Linked DNA regions of Elephas maximus indicus. The protein of the gene in region 1 interacts with the protein of each later gene in a pairwise test. Links are inferred from orthologs where the notes say so. Each region holds a gene or a part of one and is shown on either strand. Other genes may lie near its edges.

What was found.
Region 2: the proteins of SUFU (region 1) and RCN3 interact in binary tests that used the Homo sapiens proteins (3 or more experiments, as listed by UniProt). The two-hybrid records come from large-scale screens. The link is inferred for Elephas maximus indicus from reciprocal best matches to the Homo sapiens genes SUFU and RCN3.

What each region holds. Positions count from the first base shown.
Region 1 is NC_064834.1:54,065,380-54,075,937, reverse strand, and holds the start of SUFU (suppressor of fused homolog), read right to left. Parts: upstream 4,921-10,558; 5' UTR 4,728-4,920; coding exon 4,546-4,727; intron 188-4,545; coding exon 53-187; intron 1-52. Other genes in the region: ACTR1A (alpha-centractin), read left to right, coding at 7,163-7,210. UniProt on the Homo sapiens protein: Negative regulator in the hedgehog/smoothened signaling pathway. Down-regulates GLI1-mediated transactivation of target genes. Down-regulates GLI2-mediated transactivation of target genes. Part of a corepressor complex that acts on DNA-bound GLI1.
Region 2 is NC_064829.1:99,993,377-100,004,413, reverse strand, and holds the start of RCN3 (reticulocalbin-3), read right to left. Parts: upstream 4,531-11,037; 5' UTR 4,440-4,530; exon of another isoform or gene 4,406-4,439; intron 4,032-4,405; 5' UTR 4,023-4,031; coding exon 3,784-4,022; intron 1,776-3,783; exon of another isoform or gene 1,587-1,775; coding exon of another isoform or gene 1,483-1,586; intron 1,385-1,482; coding exon 1,182-1,384; intron 1-1,181. Other genes in the region: FCGRT (IgG receptor FcRn large subunit p51), read right to left, coding at 5,532-5,641, 6,042-6,158, 7,023-7,292. UniProt on the Homo sapiens protein: Probable molecular chaperone assisting protein biosynthesis and transport in the endoplasmic reticulum.

The sequences.
Region 1 (10,558 bases):
CTCAAGACTAAAGGATGGGCAGGTAGAGGGTGGAAAGGCGGCACACACTCACTCATGGACTCTGCTGTCACCATAGAGATCGCTCAGGCCGAAGCTGATGTAGTGCCAGTGCTCAGGGATGTTGGCAGAGGGGCTCCCCACATTCCTATACATGCTAACATAGTCCAAGGGATCTGGGCCACCCAACCTGCAAAAGAAGAAAAAAAACATAGAGATGTTAGTGTGAGCCTGGAAAACCAACAATGGCAAGCTAAGGACCTCTGCCTTGCAAACCAAAAGGCCATATCCTGGAGGAACCTGGGATGAAAGAGAGCTAAAGGGAGGCCACACTCCCCAGGATAAGACTAAGAGCTGGATAGCCAGAGGCTGCCCAATGCCACAAGCACAAGCAGCTCCCTTTTCCAACCCCCAACAGGCAGGACCTCTTTTAAAAATACAACAGACTGGGTGGTTGCCTAGTTGGCTTCCTGCTGTTTCAAATTACAGATCCCAAATGGGATTGGCAGGGATTATCTCTCCTCCACGGAGCTGGTAAACATGCCAAGCTTCAAGGCAAGAGATGCATCAGTCAATCAACTGGTCTCTGTTGAAAGATCATCTGGAGCATCCCCAATGGGCATTGTTCCTGGAAGCAGAGGCTCCGCTCCGTTCCTGGCTCTTAGTGGGCTAATTCCTGAAAGACTATATTGTGCCCTATGTTAATTACAGTTTGTTCTAAACAAATCCAAAGCCTGCGGTCTGTGCAGACCCTGGCCTGCACCCTGCAGACCAAAGCTGGTCTTTTATCATTGCAAGTGACAAAGGCCAAACTTAGGCTAGCTCAGCTCTGCACAGAGATCTGCAGCAGGAGCCCAGCTGAGCCCTAGGATTGCCTGCATCTGCAAGATGATCCCAGGAGACTGCTGGCTCAAAGGTAGAGCTGCAACATTCAATGATTGGAGGCCTCTAAGCACCACATTAAATTTCCTCCACAATTCCAACAGAGAGGCAGTTGTGGAAAAGATTCAGTCTTTATTTCACTCCGAGGATTTAATTCAATAAGGGTTTCCTTTAGTGCTTAAAAAAAAAAAATCCTGACTGGACGAACAGACACAGGGAACCCAGGGTTGAAAGTGGGAGAATGCTGTCACATTATGGGGATTGCAATCAATGTCACAAAACAATATATGTATAAATTTTTGAATGAGAAATTAAAAAAAAAAATCCTGTTTTTCTTAAAATGGATAGGGGACCTTGATAGACTTGAGAAACAGACTAAACAGAAACCATCAATGGAAGGAAGTCTGCATTTAGCACACAAACACTCCTCCAATTTGAGCTGCTTTGCACATCTGACCATTCCACAGACTGTAAACATTTGCCTGCCCCTGGGGCACTGATGGGGTACACTTTGCAAATGGAAGAGTATGCTCAAGGTGTGCTAGCCACCGCATAAAAGACATGTTGCATGTGATCCCAGCAAACATGCCAGGATTCAATTGAAACACAATTTAAAACCATTAGATCTGGTTTCATCCTCTTTTGCCAGGATATTATTTGCCTTTGTAGAGATCCTTATTCTCTGGGAAATGCTAAGTTATTTATAGAACTTGTAAGGAAGCTGCTACAAATACTTTACAATCTCAACCAAGTGGACTAGGAAAAGGGACAAATCTCCATGTCTTCCATTAGCTTTTTTTTTTTCCATTAGCTCTGGTGTCACCAAATCGTTTGACTAATCCCAGAATCAGTTGAATTTAGAACAATCTGTGGGGGGAAGGAGGAAAGAAAACAGCAGTGAACCCTGGACGGACTCCATGATAGCTATAGAACCCTAAACGGATGAGAATGACAACAGGCCCTATATCTGCTCCAGTTTTCTGCTACAAACTCCCAATCCTGCCTCTCCTTCAGCCAAAATCCATACACCAACAAGTGGTAAACCTGCTTTCAGTATTCAGTGCTCCATGTGTCATACCACTGCAGCCCTTTTCTATCTCCACATGTCCAAGGAGGTGTCCCATCAAGGGGAGAGGCTTGTCCTTAAAACTACAAGGGCAGGGAATAGCCAAGACTTAGACAAATTTAACCTTGGCCCCAAGCACAAAGTGTTCTGTTCTACTACTCCCAGACCTGACTGGAATCAGATGCCTATGTAGAAAATAATCTTATTTTGTACTTAGAAAAAGACGTTAGCCAACGAACCAGAGCATCCTTCAACTTAATTCCAGAGGAGAGGAGCCTCGAACACCGGACTTCACTCCACAGGCCACCTACAGGACTAGAATGGACCCAGGGCATAGGCTCTGCCTCTATGCTTCTGCTCCCTACTCACAAAGTCTCAGCCTTCAGCAGGTCATCCCTGGCCAGCACCATTAGCGAAAGAGCCATCCTTCCACTGCAGGAGAGGAATCCCAAAGTACCCTGGGCCACAGCCAGAGCAGGCAGCCTCTCAATCATTCTGCTAGAGAACTGAAGAGGCTTCATGGAGCCATGCAACACATGGGATCCCAAATGTGAGGGGTATGAATGAATTTCAGGATCTTAATTATGCAAACCTGTTCGAATCTTGGAAAGATCCTGTCTCTGAGCTACTCCCTCTTATTTTTTTTGCATCTAGGCAGCATTTCTAATCTCACCAAGTGCTGTGCAATCATCTTTATTCATCATTACATGCTGGCCAGTCTCTGAAGCTAAGTACTGGCCTGGTTAACAAGCTTGCAGCAGGAAGAAAAAAAAAAAAAAGTTGCCCAAACTAGTCTTAGTCATTTGCACACGCTTCAATACCTTTCACATTCAGCACCATCCTTTATCGCCACTTGGGTAACAGACAAAAACAGTTGCCTGAGTCTGTGGAGGGATTTCTCCTCACACTCAAAGGAGACCTGAACAAACAGCATGACAGAGCCAGACCCAGTTTTCTCAAGATACACTTCAACAGAGTTCCTCCCAACACATATTTAAACATAGAGGCACAATCAGAATGGCTGGTTAAGTTAGCAAGAGCTGCTTTCCAGTCAGAGGCTCTCCAAAAACTCCTCTCAACCAAAGAACAGTTTTCCTGCCAGACAGAAGCGCACCGCCAGCCACACCTCCTCCTGGCTGCCCAGACAGAGGCAGGCTGCTCCCCATGGCCCTCCCTGAGGAGCAGGTGGCTGGTCCCAAGGCCCCGATGGCATTCTCCCACCAGCACAGGGGGCAAGCCTCAGCTCTGCACAGCCTAGCGACTGCCATCTCCAGAGGAAGTAAGCCATACTCGTGGAGGAGAAAGATTCAGTCCCAATGGGAATGGTAACCAGCCAAGACATCCACTCTCTTCCACCTTGGAGTCTACCTGCCCCTTTGGCCACACCCCAAGCAACTAGCTGTCTGAACTGTCTTTCAGGACCCACTGAAAGGGAGCATCTAATACAGTCCCTGTATGAGTGTGGTGCTGGACTCAACCAATTCCTCAGTCAACATTTGGCCCAGAAAGACCAAGAGGATGGGCTCTTTTCCAGAGTCCCAGTAACACCTGTTTTGCCCAGAGGCTGTAGGAAGAGACAGGTTGCAAACAGGGATGGGAAACTAGAAAAGATCCATTCCTACACCAAGCGTAACCCATCTGTAACCCAGCCTGATCCTCAGCAGAACTACTTGAGGAATATCAGCTGCCCTGAGAAACTAATGCCTGAGTCCTGAAATGGGTGGCCAGAAAGCACTGCTTCCCTCCCTGCCCAGCCCCAGGTCTCCGTCATTTACTTCCTACTGGAAGTGGAAAGCTGTGGCCCTTTCAATCCTGAGCCAAACCATGGATCTCCTTAGCTTGCTCCTGTTCTAGCCAATGTCCCAGAGCAAAGGAGCTGCAGAGCCAGAGGGAGCTCTGCACAGAGGAGGAACACTGTGCAGAGCAAGCAAAAAGTTTATCAGGAAGAGTGCTGGTCAAACTTCAAAAGCAAAAGTTTTACTCGGGTATTACGTAGGAGCTCAACGAGAAGGTATGAAAAGGAGACCTCATCTCTTCACAAACACTACTCTTTCAATGGGCTGCCCTCCTAACTCTCAAGAAGGCCCCCAGACCCGCCCCTATCCTATGCAGTCGCCCCTATACTAGGCAGTCTCACGCCCTCTAATCTCCTCCAGCCGAGCTCCTCCAAAGCCCTCTCCTATGCTCCCCAGGCCCCGCCTAGCCTTCCCCATCCCACTTCAGCCGACCCCCATCCTTAGCTTCCCCTATTCCACTAATGACCCCCTACTGGCGCGCTCTCCTTTCACCACGTTTACAGTTCCCTCTCTCATAACGCACCCCTCTCTGCTCCTTCACACACCCCAGTTCTTACTCCATTTTAATCTGTTAACCTTTCATCCTCCCCTCCTCCGTTAACCCTTCACTGCCCACAGGCTCCGTTAACCCCTTTGTCCCCATTCCCAACTTGTGCCTTAATTCTCCCCTCGCAGCAGGAAGTCCTCCTTGCAAGTGCTTTAACCCTTCTACTCCTCCTCCTCTCTTCCCCTGCAAATTTCTTCGTTCCGGCGCTTTAACCCTTCCCAGCCCCCTTGTCCGTCTCCCCGCGGCCCAGGGCATACCAGTATTTGACGATAGCAGTAACCTGGAGCGGATTCGGCTGGTCGGGGTAAAGGCGGCGGCACTCTCCGTAGATGGCATGCAGTCCCGGGGGGAAGAGCGAGGCGAACGCCGGGGGGGCAGAAGGGCCAGGGGCTGGGGGCGCGGTGGGGCCGGGGGCGCCGCTAGGCCGCAGCTCCGCCATTGGGGCACGTAGGGTGCTGGGGGAGCCGGGTAGGGAGGGTGAGGGGGAGAGCACTGACTGGCCAGCGGGCGGACTTCTTGGGTGCGACTCCCCGAGGCAAAGGGGGCTGCAGCGAGGTCTAGTGTCTGCGCCTGCGCACTACACACTGTCCGCCCAGGCCGCCGCCGCCGCAGCCTCGGAGTCGGCCAGAGGGTGCCTGGGGGCTGCGGAGCTCTCAAATGGGCGGGCCGCAAACGCGTCCTATGCTGACATCTATTGGCTAGCGTCTGTGCCAGTCACAGGTGAGAAAGGCGTGATCTGACAATAGGCCCCGCCTTCTCATCGCTGAGTTGGGGGTGTCCCAAGGCTCTTGGTCTCCCCCTAGTGTTGGGAGGAAGACATGTTTAAATAGAGACATTGAGGGAGGCAACCCTGTGAGGTGCTAGGGTCCCACGAAAGGCACTGTGACGTGATCTCACCTACGGTTAGGTTAGTAGCTTACACGCTACTAACCAAGATTTAAATAAATCTGACAGTATATTGGCTCACTCGTCCGTGTGGCATTAGTTTTAATAGATTAATTAATCCAATGTTTCCTACTATTTTTGAACGTCCGTGGACGTATTGACTGACACTGTTAAAACCCATTGCCGTCTAGTCGATCCTGATTCACAGGGATCCTATAGCGACCAAATTCAGGGAACTGAAGTTGAAATAAGTCCCCAAAACCCATACCGTCGTGTCGATTTCGATTCATAGCGACTCTGTAGGACAGAGTGGAACCGTCCCTTAGGGTTTCTAAGGCTGTAATCTTTACAGAAGCAGACATCTTTCTCCCAGCGAAGCCGCTGGGTGGATTGGAACCGTCGACCTTTAGGTTAGCAGACGAGCGCTTAACCCCTGGGCCACCAGGGCTCCTAAAATAAGTCAACAAGTAATAAATACTTTTTGGCATACTGTCAGAAAGTAAAGGTGCCCTGGTGGCCCAGGGGTTAAGCATTTGGCTGCTAACCAAAAGGTCTGGCGGTTCCAACCCACCCAGCGGCTCCGCTGGCAGATAGATGTGGCAATCGGCTTCCCTAAAGATTACAACCTTGGAAACTTTAAAGGTCAGTCGTACTCTGTCCTATAGGGTGTCTATGAAACGGAATCAACTCCAGGGCTACAGGTTTGTTCAGAAAATAACAAGAGTTGGTTAAACTAGTGTCAATTTATATGACTTAGTAATTCTTTAATAAATGTTTTTAATGATAATTTCGTTCTTTGTTCTGCTTTAAGGAGATGTATGCAGTTTGCTTTGAGGAATACCAATATTCATTATCCACTATGGGCCTGTCCTTTCCCATTATCTTTACTCTCTGTATCTGGGAGAATTTTCTTTAATTTCTTAGGCACGAGGTGGAAAATTATTTTCCTGTTTACAATAACTCTTCATTCAGTAACACTTTCATTCAATGATCTTGAAGGAGTGCCAAGATAAACGGATAGGAGGGAGTGGCTACCAGTGCTATTGACCAAAGGGTCTCTGCAACTTTAACAGAAGGATGCCCTAGAGAAAACAAGAGGAAAATGCAGTGTTTATTTAAGAGCAGTAACACATAACCTCTCTTCACCTCTGTTTCCTCACCTATCAAAATCTTGTCAATTCTAGCTCCTGTAATGATACTAGAGAAGCAGCTGAAATCCTTGGATGAACAATATTTTAATAACCAAAAGATCACCTTTACCAGTAGTTCCAAATGCCAGTCTTCAGACCAATGTCAATCTGTTACTAAATTTACGCCTATCCAGGAGAAAACGGGAATAGTAACCACAATGTACTGCTTTTCTCTTGTAGCAAATTTTTATGGAATTTAAATGATTTCCTTTGTTCTGAAAATTTGCAGTTTCTTGTGTGTGTATATGTGTATTAAAATGACCTTTCTGTTCAAGTTTGATGGTGGTAGATGTTTGTTTTTTAAAGTCTTAAAGACCCAAATAAAAACATGGCAGCCTTATTTTGTCCAGGTGAGGTGGGGGTGGAGTGGGCAGTACTGATCTGTAAAAACCACATTCACGAATTACTGACCAATGCTAAACGAAATACAGACAAGTACTCAAGAAGACTACACACTTCGGCATGCACTGCGAAACCTTTCAAAGGGACTACAAATCCAAGAATGCAACACAGGCATCAATCGGCGTCTCCATCTATTTTTTTAACGGAGACTACAAACCCCAGAGTATGTGCGACGGAAATGCGGACGCTCAATCCATGTTTAAGAGGCGGGTCTCCAAAACGGGCCTTTTAGCAAACCCCGGCGCAAAGCATGCTGGGGATTGTAGTTCTTTGGAGGCGAAATCGGACCCCTTCCCTGGCCGCCCTATACCGGCGGCTAGACTGCGCATGCGTGTCAGCGGCGTTAGCAGCGGACCGGGCTGGCAGTTCTTTCCTCGGAAGGAGAGATTCCTCTACGATGGAGTCCTACGATGTGATCGCCAACCAGCCTGTCGTGATCGACAACGTGAGTTGCATCTTTCCTATTTCTAAAGGGACTTCTGCTCTCTTCCCCGAAGGGATAGCTTCCCGGGTTTCTGCCCGGCTCTTTGTCACTGGCCCGGCCTGTCAGGCGGGTTCAGCCGCCGTCGCCAACGTCCTCCCCCACCCGTAGTTCGTAGGCAGGGCAGCCAGGCGGCAACCGTGGGATAGAGAACTCTGGAGTAGGCAAAGGAAAGAGCTGTAGTCCGAGCCGGGTCGGTGGGCCCTTGGCTCGAGGGGCCTTAACCGCTCTGTGAACACCGGCGCCTGCCCTGTCCCCAGTGCTTGTTAATTCTATTGGCTGCTCTTGCTGTCTATCTTGACTGGTGACCCCGCCTCTGGGCCTTGCCGGATGAGGACAGCCCTCTGCAGTGATTGGCTCACGCTCCTGCCGTTCTTCCGGGCCGCCTTAGTGTTTCCCTTCTCTAAGGGGCGGGGCGGTGTACCAGCGCTGTGGGGATTGGCTTCGGGAACTCAGTGGCACTAGAAGGGCGAAGGCCCGCCTGCGGGTGGAGGAGAGGGGCTGTTTCCTGCGGCCCCGAGCGGGCGGGGCAGCATGGTGGTGTATCTGGGTGGGGCCCGAAAATCTGATGCCAGAAATGGCCGTAGAATTTCAGTTATTTCTATAATTATAAAGTTAATAAAGGCCTAGAAGAAATGAGAATGACAAAGCAAGCTGGGAGATGCCTTTCTATTTGGAACGCCTAATTGTTGACGGAAAAAATTAGCTAAACATAATATTTGCAAGGCTCTCCAGCGCTTACAAGGCGCTTTCATATACATTCGAGTTGGATGCTCACAAAAACTAGGCGGATAGTTAAGGCAGGAAGTTTGATCCTCATTTAATAGTTGAGAAATCTGAAGCGTGAGCCCAAGGTCACACAGGGCTTGACCGGTTATTCCTTTTGCTGGCACCCACGCAAATGCATCAGTAGTGACAAATGGAAAGACTCTGAATACTACTTTTATGGGGAAGGAGGGGCAGTTGTAAAACAACGGCATCTCTGTCTTCAGCTCAAGGGTGATGGTCCCACTAAGATCAGTTGATACCTCTCTGTGCCTCTTCTTGTTGTTAGCTGTGGTGGAGTCTGTTCCGACTCATGACAACCCCAAGCGTGCATAGTAGAATTGCTCCATAGGGTTTTCAAGGCTGTGACCTTTTGGAAGCAGATTGCCAGGCCTTACTTTCCAGGTGCCTCTGGATGGGTTTGAAGTTATCAATCTCCTCAGTCCTAACTGATTCGCCCTGTTGAGCCAGCTCTTGGGTACAGCGTCGCCTTGTTTAAACTTCTCCCCTGCTAGGTAAGTAGGAATTATTTTTCTCAGTTTATGCAGAAAACTGAGGCTTGGAGAGGTTAAATAACATATTCAAACCACCTGGCCTGTGAATTAAGGCACCAAGACTCAGACTGAGATCTGGTTCCAAGTTCCTCACTCTTTCCAAGGAAAGGTTATTTTTGTTCGTTTTTCTTCTCTCGGATGGGTGTGGCTTCTGCTTTGTTTGAGCTCAATGAGGCACCCCTTCTGGGAGAGTTTTTTTTTTTTTTTTTTTGTCTCCACTAGACTTTGAAATCCTTGTGGAAAAAGAATGATACTCCTTTATTTTTTATTACTCTCCCGTTTCCATATACACAGTACCTAGGGCAGTGCCTGGCACACACTATGTGCCCAATAAATGTTTTTTCATTGGACTGATGGGCAGGTGGTTGAATGAATGAACATCTCTTATCACAGTAACAAAGATGTTCCTAAATAAAGGATGGCAGGGAGCCCCCATTATTTACTGAGAGGGTTGAGCAGGACTCCTTGTTCGTGATGCTGATTTCCAGAGAACACTGCTACTTCAGTCTTCAGCCAGTCTGTGTTTCATCTGCCTTTTGCTTAGTTAGAAAGAAATTAGCAATTGGCAACAATTTCCTGTTTTCATCAGCAGTACAGAGGAGCAGTCCAGCCATCCAACCCAGGGGATCCTTTGCTTCTTGAATGGCTGGGCAGGAGTTCTGTCTCCAGCCAGTCTCTTTAATGTTGTTTAAACTAATGCGTCTTAGTTTCTCCTTTGTCTTTCCTGGTAATGTATTTGAAATGCATCAAAGCAGTGGTGCATTTTCAGTTTTAATGTTTAAAGGATTGACTTTTCTCTGGGAAAACATTTCCTTCATTCTGCCAGTAATTCTGCCAAAAGGTGAAGTAGGAGCTTAAGTCATTTTCTCATTAGGACTTCCCAAATATCTGCCACATTTTTAGATTTGGAGCCTTGGGTAGTTCTTGCTGTTTGAAATTTAGAGGGTTTTTGTTTTTAATTCTCAAGATAAAAGGTGGGTAGGAAAAATCATTTGAAATATTTGAGCCAACTTTATGAGAATAGTGTGTTACTGGCAGATTTAAGCTCTGCATAGCTTAACATCTTGCTAAAATTTTACTTCTGGGCTACGGAGAGTACAACTAAAGAAAGGAGGACAAAAGAAATAGGGAAAAGAGGGAAGAGCCTCATCGCAGTTCACAGCCTTTCCCAGTCTTAAGGCAATTGTGACCACTCCTTTCATCTTTCTCTGCTTCTCTGGCATCAAACCAATTCATCAGAATTAATGAGGAAAATGGAGACGTGTGTGTGTGCGCGCGTGTGTGCGTGTGATGATGCACACGTTTTAATGACAACAATAAAGTGATAGATATTTCTGAAAGTTAAGTATAAGTAATTCCTTCCCAAAGGCATACCATAGATACTAACACAGGAAGAGAACAGCACTTTGATCAGAAAACTGAGTTTATTCTAAAGCTGAAATTTTTACTAAAATCTTAAAGCTACAGTTCTGTCCTAAATAGATCAAGGTTCTGGTCAGTCTTTGTGACTATGTGGTCCCAAATGCAGTAACAGTATCAGATCTTCAGAAGTTCATCAGAAAGCTAAGAATTTCACTGTTTTGTTTTGTTTTCCAGATGTCTTGCTGCTTCAGCCTCCTTTTAAGAAATATATTTTTTAATTTTTTTATCGTGCTTTAAAGTGAAAGTTTATAGCTCAAGTTAGTTTTTCATACAAAAATTTATACACACATTGTTATCTGACCCTAGTCTCTCTCTCTGTTATGTGACAGCACACCCCTCCTTTCCACCTGGGATTTCTCGCGTCCATTCAACCAGCTCATGTCCCTTTCTGCCTTCTCATCTTGCCTCCATACAGGAGCTGCCCATTTAGTCTTATGTATCTACTTGAACTAAGACGCACACTCTTCACAAGTAGCCTTTGATGTCTTATAGTCCAGTCTAATCTTTGTCTGAAGAGTTGGCTTGGGGAATTGTTTTAGTTCTGGGTTAACAGAGAGCCTGGGGGCCATGT
Region 2 (11,037 bases), on another chromosome or scaffold:
ACCAGGCCATTCTTCTGAGGTGCCTCTGGGTGGACTTGAATCTCTAACCTTTCCATTAGCACCTGAGCATGTTAACCATTTGTATCACCCAGGGACTCCTATACATAAGTTACCTAACTTATATTGAGAACTTATTATATGCCAAGCACTTTGCCTACAATATCTCATTGAATTCTCATTAAAAGCAGGTAAAGTGGGTTCTTTCGTTTATCCTCACTTTATGAAAGAAAACTGACCCCCAGAAAGAGAAAATAAACTTGTCCAAGGTCAGTAACAGTGGACTTTAATTAAGTTGGGCTTCAAAGTCAGTTTAGCACAATAGCTTATACTGACTCTGTTTGCCTGACAGAAAGTTGAGGAAGGGCATGTGTGGAGTGTGGGTATTTGAAGAGCTTGGTGAGTTGAGGGAAATCCTTGGAGATCGACTTGGCTGGGATAGGAAGTGCAGAGAAGGAACTCTCTCCTGGGGGTGCTGGGGAGCCATGGGAGGGCTGTGTACTGGGGAGGGCCAGGATCAGCTCAGGTGTAGAAAGAACCATCTGGGGCAGTGTGGGGATGGGCTGGAGGGGGAGACTAGAGGCCAAGAAGCCAGGTAGAGCCTGGGACAACGGTCTAGGATGGAGGGGACAAAGCCTGTGTGGCGCCAGGACTGAGGCTGTGGGGACAGAGAAACCATAACCAAAAACCAAACCCTTTGCGGTAGAGTAGCTTCCTACTCATAATGAGCAACCCTATAGTACAGAGTGGAACTGCTCCATAGAGTTTCCAAAGAGCGTCTGGTGGATTCAAACTGCCGACCTTTTGGTCAGCAGCTGATCTCTTAACCACTACACCACCAGGGCTCCGGGGACAGAGAAGAGGGACCGAAAAGAGTCGGGGACAGGGAAAATGGCTTTGGGTTTCTCAGGAGGAGGGGTCACAGACGTCAGAGACCAGGATGACAGGGTATGAAAGTTAGGTGTTTCTGGTCAAAGATATGAAGTCCCCCAGTCACAGCGTCACAGGTCGTGGATGCCAGAGTGAGAGACCAGACATCATGGGTTGAAGGTTTCAGGGGGATACCCTGGTTTGGGGTCAGAGGTCAAAAGGTCATGGATTCTAGTACGCAGGATGAGGGAATGAAAAAGGTCAGGGTCAGTGGTGTGTGTGGAGGGAGCAGGAGTCGAGGTCTTGCCACCCACCGGGCGCATAGTGACCATAGGTGGCGTTGCGGAGCTCCTCCCAGCCCACACGTCCGTCGCGATCCGTGTCATATGTGTCCCAGGCCGCGCTCACCGAGTCCCGTATGTGCCGCTGCTGCGTGTGCGCGATCCACGCGCGGAGCTCAGCCAGAGACACCCAGCCGTCCCCGTCCCCCGCACGGTCCATGCGGTCCACGATCCGTCTGCGAGCCAGGGGTGGGGCACAGGTCAGACCCAGGCCCCACCCAATCCCATTTAGGCCCCGCTCCTCCCGTCGAGCCACGCCCCCACTCCCACACACCCCTGTATAGGGCTGAAAAGACGGTCCACGCTCCGTCGGCAGACTGGAGAGGGACACGTGTTAATCTCGGGACCGCGCCCACCTCCGGACCGAGTGCCCTCCATCTAGGCTCCGCCCCCACGGCAAACTACGCCTTTCCTGCCTATGGACGATACCAAACGCAGGGGTCGTGGGGGAGGACAGACGTCAATCCGGGGCCGCACCCTCCACTCCGGCCCCATCCTTCGACCCAGCACGTGCTCCATCCACCTTAAGCTTGATTGAGTTGGGGTGGGACAGGGAGCGGGACACAAGTCCCACGACTGGCTCGGCCCCGACTGCCACGGCCCCGCCCCCTCCCCGGCTCTGCCAGTCTCAGCGCTCTCCTCCCCCAGCCCCGCCCCACGCCCCGCCCAGCCCCTTTCCCCTCTCGGCTTCCCGCTCTAGCCCGCCTGCCCTTGGACCAGCGAGCCCCTCCTCTCCCAAGCCCTCTCTAGGATCCGGCATACTCCTGTGCAGCTCCCCGGGCCGATCAAACCCCTCCAGGCCCCCCCTCACGCCCCCTCTTTCTCAACCCGCACCTGTCAGCTTCGGAGCCCCGCTTCTCTTCCCTGGCCGCACCTTGCCACGGTCCAGCCGTCGCGCAGACGCTAACACACCCCACACGGAGCCCCTGTTGTCCAGTCCCCAGGTCTCATCCAAGACAGCCCCGCTCTCCCTGCTCCCGCCCGGTCGCCGCTCTCCTCCCACACCAGTCTGTCTCTGCCTGGGTCACTCGGGGGCTGGCCCTGTCCCCAGGACTCACTCCCTTCTCTGAGGTTGGAGCTATGGTTAAGAGCGTGGGCTCCACAGCCAGGCATTCTAGGTTCAGATCCCACCGCCTCTACTTGCTAGTTGTGTGACCTTGGGCAAGTCACTTAATCTCTCTGTGCCTTGGTTCCCCCCTCTGCGAAATGGGAATAGATAATGGTATCCACCCCATGTGGGGATTAAATGAGTTAACCTATGTAAAGCACTTAGAACGGTGGCTGGCACTGCAGTAATCCCTGGCTAAATGTGATCAATGTGATAGGATAACTCTCACTACCCTTCCTCCCCTGACCGCATTCAGGCACAGTCTTCCAACCAGTGGGGTGCAGAGATCTGGTCACCGCCCCCGACTGTCCCCAGTCTGGTCTATACACCATCATCTCTTCTCTCCCACCTGGACTATTGCAGCTGTTTTCTCACTGATCTCTCTGCCTCTCCTTGCTCCCCAGCCTGCCTAAATCAGACCACCTCCCTCCTCTGCTCAGAACCTTCCTATGGTGCCCTGTGCACTCAGGTGACCCTGCATGATCTAGTTCTCTCTGTTATGCTCCTTACCTCCCTCCTCTCCCCTTTGATCACTCTGTTCCAGTCACACTAGCCTTCCTATTCCTCAACCGTGCCAGGCCCACTCCTGCCTCAAAGCCTTTGCACATACCATTCTCTCTGCCTGGAATGCTATTCCCCCAGGCACCCACATGGCTCAATTATTACCTTGTCATTGAGGCCTCCTCTGAACACCCTGTTTAAAACTGCAATTTCCCCCCTCTCCACTTCACTTCTTTGCCCTTTTTCTCTAATGCACTGATGTATTTATACGTATTGTTCTGTCTCGGCCTCTACAATGCAAACCGCATGAGGGCTGGAATTTTTGCCAGACTAGTTCACTGCTGGAACTTCCGCACCTGTGCAAGGCCTGGCACACAGCAGGCGCTCAATAGACCTTCATGGGATGCATGAGCGGTAGTGGGACACCATAGAGAGGGGGCTTTGCATTGCCTACTGCCCCCAGGCCCTCTCTGGCTCTGTCTCCCCATACCGGGGTGCACAGGATCTCTCAGGTTCGTGGGGAGACCCCTTTTAGCCCAGTTTACCCTGGGACTCATGGCTCAGCCCTTTTCCTGCTCTGGCTGTCCTCTTTACATGACGAATCTTGTTATTTTTCACATCAGCCCCATGCCAAGGAATCCTGGTGACCCATTTACGGAGCAGGAAGCTGAGGCTCAGAGAGGGGAGGTGTCTGAGGAAAAGGAACAAAAAGTGACTGAGGGGACAGGAGCTGAATTCAGACCTTCCTGCTTTCAAAGGTTGTATCTTGAGGCCTCAATTTTTACTTAGTTTTGTTTTGCCTGAGGAGGGGAGGTAGGATTTCGTTAGTGGATTCTCAACAAGAACCAAGGTCTCCTCCATCTTTCCTTACCGGTCCCCTGCCTCTGTCTTTGCACCAATGCTCCAATCTCTCTGTCACCCCACCCCCACCACTGCACCCCACTCCCATCGCCATATCACTCCTACCCCAGGCGAGCCTGGCTTTCCTCAGGGCTGAGCTGGTCGAATTCCTTGGCTACTTCTCGTCCCAAGAAAGCCTCATGGTCGTACTGAAAGTTGCCGTGGGCGTCGTCATGAGGGGCCTCGCTTAGGGGGGCCGCCTGGTGCACTCTCCCCTGGCCATGAGGGCCTGAGTCGGGAGACGGCTTCCCTTGGGCCCCAGGCCCCAGCAGCAACAGTAGCAGCAGAAATGACCGTCGCCACATTGTCAGTCCCTGCAGAGGGGCGGAGGCCAGCGATCGGGGTCAGAGGGAAGAGGACAGGATTTGAGGGGTGAGAGGGTATGACAGGGCAGGCGGCAAAGTTTTGGCCTCGGGAAGGTCTGGGTATGGGTGAAAGGAGGCAGGGTTCGCGGAGGTAAAACCAGCATGGGAACCTCATCTTCTGAGGGCGTCCATAGGGTTCCCAGACCCACAAGTAAAGGGGCTCCAGGGTAAGACGTGGCGCACATCCCACGCAAAAAGAGGGCGGGGCCGTGGACGGGGAGAGATCAGGCTGACTTCCCTAGGATCGCTTCCAATCGGGACGCTGATCTTCGACCCGAGCCACCCCAAGCCGCCCTCCCTGGGCACCCCTCGGACCCCTTTACCCCGTTACGTAGCCAGGCTTCGCTCTCTACGCACCGCTCAGTGTTCCCCAAAAGATGCCCAGCTTGGCTTCACTCCAGCCTGGCCCCGCCTCTGGCCGAGCGGAGGCCCCGCCCCCGGCCAATGAGCGCGTGTTAGGGCCCTGAGAGGCGGGGCCAAGGAGCGCCGGGCGGGGCACAGGAGCCCCACGCCACGTCCACAAAGGAAAGCACTGCCCTCGAGGCTCGGCCCTGCCCCTTTCCAGGGCAGGCGGGGTAGGAGACGTCGGAACGACTGGAACTGAGCGAACTACAACCCCAGCAGGACTCGGGGCGCCCTGTTCGACTACCTCCAGTTTTCTTGGCCCCGAGGCCTCATGGGAAATGTATTTTTATCTATTTCCTTTTGTCAGGGTGGTCCAAAAAAGGCCGGGAGCCAAGGGAGGCAGCCCCTTCCCTCAAAGGAGAAAACAACTCTCTTCTTCTGCTGTATCAAGAGGGATTCAGGTGAGATTCAGCCAAGAACTCTTCAAAAGGGCTGACAAAATGTGAAAAAAAACCAAACCCACTGCGGTGGAGTCAATCCCGACCCACAGAGACCCTATAGGACAAAGTAGAACTGTCCCATAGGATTTCCAAGGAGCAGCTGATGGATTTGAACTGCCAACCTTTTGACTAGCACCCAAACATTTAACCACTTCCACCACCAGGGCTCCAAACCCATTGCCATTGAGTGGTCACTCAATTTGTGGAAGTTGTGAATGAAAATTGTATGACCTGTTATATAAAGTTGTCAGATTCCACATGACAACATGTTAGTAAGTTGCAGGTGAGATTTGAAACCCAGGTCTTCCACCACCTTCATTTCCTCCTACATCCCCCCTATTGCCCATTCTGAAATGCCCGAAAACTTGAAATCACGAGAACACAATCAATTCAGGCCCAAAATCATATTATATGTGGATGTGGAAAAGAGCCGTATGTATCAGGAAAGGAAACTGAGGCAGGCAGCAGGAAGAAGGATCCAGAGGGAGGACATCAGGCCCAGACTCCTTCTGGAGGCTCAGAGATGCCAGGATTCCATCCTGAGGTCGCACAGCATGAAAGGGCCCCCACAGCATTAGCTGGTGGCAACCAGAATGGAGGCTAGTCAGGCAGTGTCTGCCAACGTGTTTTTATCCTGAGAGTCAGCCTCCTGGGGGAGGCCAGGAGTGGGTAGGAGGGCCCCGACATCATCAGCACCGAGAGCGATCCAAGGGACTGAGGAGAGAGGAATAGGTGTGTTCATCAGACTGTGAGACCCCCGCCCCTGTCCACCCCTCCTCCATGTTCTTTCTCTCTGTCTCTAGGTTCCTGTCTCCCTTTCTCTCTGAGTCTTTGCCTCCCTTTCTCTCTGGATCTTTGCCCCCTTCTATCTGGGTCTCTGTTCCCCTCTCTCTGGGTCTCTGTCCCTCTCTCTCTGGGTCTCTGTGCCCCCCGCTCTCTTGGTCTCTGTCCCTCTCTCTGCGTCTCTGTGCCCCGCCCCGGGTCTCTGTGTCCCCCCTCCCCGGTCTCTGTCCCCCTCTCTCTCTGGGTCTCTGTCCTCCTTCCGGGTCTCTGTCCTCCCCACCCCCTGGCTTCTGCTCCCTTCTCTGAGGCTGCTTCTCCTCCTGCGCCACACCTGGCTGTCCTGCCCTAATCCTCCTCCACAGCAGCGCTCCTCCCGTTGCTGCTGCCAGGAGCAGCAAGAGTCCGATGACGATCCCAACCACGGGTACTGCGGACCTGGCTGATGATTCTGCAGCCAGAGAAGGTATGAGATGGTGAATGAAGTCTCATCCCAGGAGTCAGGACAGGGAAATGGGGGCTCCCACACCCCCGAGCCAGAGAGTCCTGACCAAGTGTCTGGGGATGGGAGTGAGCAGAGGAAAGGTGTCGGGGTGTCCTAGGCTTGGGCAGAGTGTCCCCAGGTTAGATGAAGAACCAGCCATAGCAAGAAGAATGGTGGTCGGTCTTGCCAAGGGACCTGTGGTGTTCTGACTCTGAGGACGGGCAGGCACAGCACAATAGGAGGTCAGACTCACAGAGGACTGGCAGTAGCAAGGCAGTAGATGGTCAGTCTTGGCAAGGATTGGCAGAAGCAGACAGTGATTGACCAGACTCCATAAAGACCAGAAGTAGCAGGATGGAAGGTGGTTAGCCTCAGGGAGGACCAGCAGCAGTGGGGCTGAAGGTGGCCAGACTCAGAGAGTACTGACCATAGTAGTCAATATCTGGTCAGACTCAATGGGGCCTAGCAGCAGCTGGATAGAAGGCAGTCAGGCTTGGGAAGGACAAGCAACACAGGATAGAAGGCTGTCAGGCTTTCCGAGAATTGGCAATAGCTGAGCACAAGCTAAGGAGCCATGGTGGTGCAGTGGTTAAGTGCTCAGCCAGGAACCAAAAGGTCAGTGGTTCGAACCCATCTACCGCTCTGCAGAGGAAAGACCTGGCGATCTGCTTCTGTAGAGATTACAATCTTGGAAGCCCTATGGGGCTGCTCTACTTTGTCCCATAGGTTTGCTATGAGTCGGAATCAACTCAACAGCAACAGGTTTGGAGCACAAGGCACTTAGACTCAGGAAAACCTGCTGCAGCAATGGGCTATCCGGTGGGACCTCACCCAACTCCACCGTGAGGGGCTTCGCCAGCCCTGCGTGCTGCACAACGCAGCAGTAGTGGTGTTCATCGCCACTTTTGACTTGTAGTGATGACCAAGCATGGAAGGAGCCATCGCCATTGGGGCCCTGGTCGCTCTCTCCGGTGCCAGCCGCCAGCCCATTCCGGAGGAATTGCAGCTGCAGCTCCGGGGGGTAGAAGGAGAAGGCACTGCAGGTGAGGACGGAGAAGCCGGGGCTGCCTGGTCGGGCCTTCAGGCGCATGGAGGGCGGCTCTGCAGAAAGACAGGCAGACAAGCCTGAGCACCAAGCCCATAGACCGCCAGGGCCAGGCCCAGGCCCAGGGCAGGGCTGGATAGGGACAGAGAGGCCCTCATTCCTTCCACCACACCTATTGGGCTCCGCCACGTGCCCTGCACTGGGCTGAGCCTGGAGGACATGGTGGGGAAATGGGAAAGCTTTCCCAGGGGGACGGACACCCAACCAACCTATGGGTTGCTCCCTCAGGACCCCATTTCATCCTTCCATAAACATTTTTAAACAAAACAAAAACCAGACCTGTTGCCATTGAGTTGATTCTGACTTATAACAACCCTACAGAACAGAGTAGAATTGCCCCCATAGGGTTTCTTAGGTTGTAATCTTTACGGAAGCAGAATGTCACATCTTTCTCCCACGGAGTGGCTAGTGGGTTCAAACCACTGACCTTTCAGTTAGCAGCCAAGCGCTTAACTACTATGCCACCAGGGCTCTTTGGATACAAGGTAAATATGTATAAATCAATAGCATTTCTATAAATTAGCTACCAACCAACAACCAACCCATTGCCATTGAATCAATTCTGACTCACGGTCACCCCATGGGTTACAGAGTAGAACTGCTCCATAGGGTTTTCTTGGTTGTAAACTCTTTTTTCCGTGGTGCCCTGGTGGGTTTGAACCACCAATCCTTTAGTTAGTAGCCGAGCGCAAACCTTGTGCACTACCCAGAGTCCTCAAATCAGCTGCAAACAATTGGAAAATAAAATTTTTCAATACCATTTACAGTAGCTTCAAAAAATACCAAGCATCAAAAGATACTTAGGAGTAAATATAACCAAAGATATATAAGATCTCTACACTCAAAACTACAAAATATTAGTGAGAAAAATTAAAGAAGAACTAAATATATGAAGGGACATAACATGCTGGTAGATTAGAAAATTTATTATTGTTAAGATGTCAATTCTCTCCATATTGATCTATCAATAAAATTCAGTCACAATCAAAATCCCAACAAGATTATTTTTGGTGGTAATTGATAAGCATAATTCTAAAACATATATAGAAATACTGGGGCCCTGGCAGCACAGTGGTTAAGAGGTTGGCTGCTAACCAAAGTATCAGCAGTTGGAATCCACCAACTGTTCCTTGGAACCTCTACGGGGTAGTTCTACTTTGTCCTGTAGGGTCACTGTGAGTCAGAATAGGCTCAATGGCAACAGCTTTGGTTTTTTATACAGAAATGCAAATGTCCTAAGATAACCAAGGCAATATTTAAGAAGGAAAATAAAGCTGGAGAACTTATACCACTAAATACCCAAACTTACTCTAAAACTACATTAATCAAGAGAGTGAGGTATTCACTTAGGAGAGTGGCGTCTGGGGTCTTAAATGCTAGCAAGCGGCCATCTAAGATGCATCAATTGGTTTCAACCCACCTGGAGCAAGGAAGAATGAAGAACACCAAAGACACAAGGTAATTATGAGCCTAAGAGACAGAAGGGACCACAAAAACCAGAGACTACATCAGCCTGAAAACTAGATGGTGCCCAGCTGCAACAGATGACTGCCCTGACAGGGAGCACAACAGAGAACCCCTGAGGGAGCAGGAGAGCAGTGGGATGCAGACCCCAAATTCTCATAAAAAGACCAGACTTAATGGTCAGACTGGGACTAGAAGGACCCCAGAGGCCGTGGTCCCCAGACCTTCTGTTAGCCCAAGACAGGAACCATTCCCAAAGCCAACTCTTCAGACAGGGATTGGACTGGAATATGGGATGGAAAATGATACTGGTGAAGAACGAGCTTCGTGGATCAAGTAGACACATGAGACTATGTTGGCATCTCCTGTCTGGAGGGGAGAAGAGAGGGCAGAGGGGGTCAGAAGCTGGCTAAATGGCTATGAGGAGAGAAAGGGGAGGGAAGGACTGCACTATCTCATTAGGGGGAGAGCAATTAGGAGTGTATAGCAAGGTGTACGTAAATTTTTGTATGAGAGACTGACCTGATTTGTAAACTTTCACTTAAAGCACAATAAAAATTAATTAAAAAAAAAAAAAAAGAGAGTGAGGTATTGGCATAAGAACAGACCAACAGGTCAATGAAATAGTCTAGAAGCAGATCCACATCTACTTTACGACAAAGAGTCCATTGCCATCCAGCGTATATGTGCGTGGAGGGGAGATGAAGGTCTTTGCAACAAATAATGCTGGGTCAACAGGTCCTTAGGTGGCGAAAACGGTTTGCACTCAACTGCTAACCTAAACATTGGTGGTTCGAACCCACCCAGTGGTACTACAGAAGAAAAGTCCTGGTGATCTGCTTCCATTAAGATTACAGCCAAGAAAACGTATGGAACAGTTCTAGTCCGTAACACATGGGGTTACCATGAATGGGAATCTACTCGATGGCAACCAGCAACAACAACTGAGTATCCGACTGGCTGACTGGAGAGAACGGAGAAGTGTGAGGCTGAGGAGATGGACTGCGGCTTCACCATGCAGGGCCTCGAGTGCCAGGTGGAGTGGCTAGAGCCGTGGTGTCTTGAGGGATCTAAGGAGCTGCAGGAGGGGTATGTGCAGGGGAGGGGCGGAGTCAGCTCTGGAGCTGAGCTCTGTTGAGGGATGGGTTAGAGGGGAGAGACTGGTGGCTGGGAGAAGGCTGGTCTTTGAACAAACGATACTGGGTCAACTGGATATCCATAGGGGAGAAAAATTAACCTAACCCCCTACCTCATACCATATACAAACATTAACTTGAGATGGATCATACAGCTAAATGGAAGTGCACACGCCACCCAGAAAGTTTTCCTGCCACAGAAATCAAACCAGAATCTGATCAAGTCTCTAGATATGGCTACTAGTTTATAGGATAAGCAGGAGACAGAGGACCATGTTCAGCAACACCACAGGAATGTAACCAGTAAAATCCAGCCTGGTGGAAGCTCAATAGGGAAAATGACTTACTTTCTTCAAAGCAAAAATTGCAAGGAAAAAAAAAAAAAAAACTATTTAAAGAAACGTATAGATTAAAAGACAATGAAAATGATGCACATTGAAATCACTGAACTGCATACATAAAAATGTTTGAAATGACATATGTTTCGCTATATATATTCTACCACAATTTAAATTAAAAACAACCAAAAAACTAATGTCCACATCTGCATCCAAGGTGCACAACTTTTCACAACCAGCAAAAAAAAAGAAAGATACTGAAGAGACAGACAAATAAGTGAATGGATAAACAAACTGTGGCACGTCCATACCATGAAATATCATTCAGTGATAAAAAGAAAGGCTCCATTATGCCACGAAACGACATGGAGGAACCTGAAATGCATGTTGCTAAGTGAAACACGGGTTGACACAACGGCCGCAGCAATAGACTCAAACATAGTGAAGATCATGAAGATAATACAGGACTGGGCAACGTTTCACTCTATTATACACAAGGTCACCATGAGTCGGAGCCAACTTGGCAGCAACTAACAGCAAAACAACAGTGTATGATTCCAACTATATGACATTTTGGAAAAGGCAAAACTGTAGAGACAGTAAAAAGATCAGTGGTTGCCAGGAGTTGGGGAAGTAGAGAGGAGAGGTGAACAGGTGGAGCTCAGGGCATTTTTAAGGCAGTGAAACTATTCTGTATGATATTGTTAATGTAGGACATACAACATTTAGCATTTGTCAAAACCCATAGGCCTGTTTCTGGAGCCATGGAGGCTGGATAAACCCCCAAAACTACTGCCTTAAGC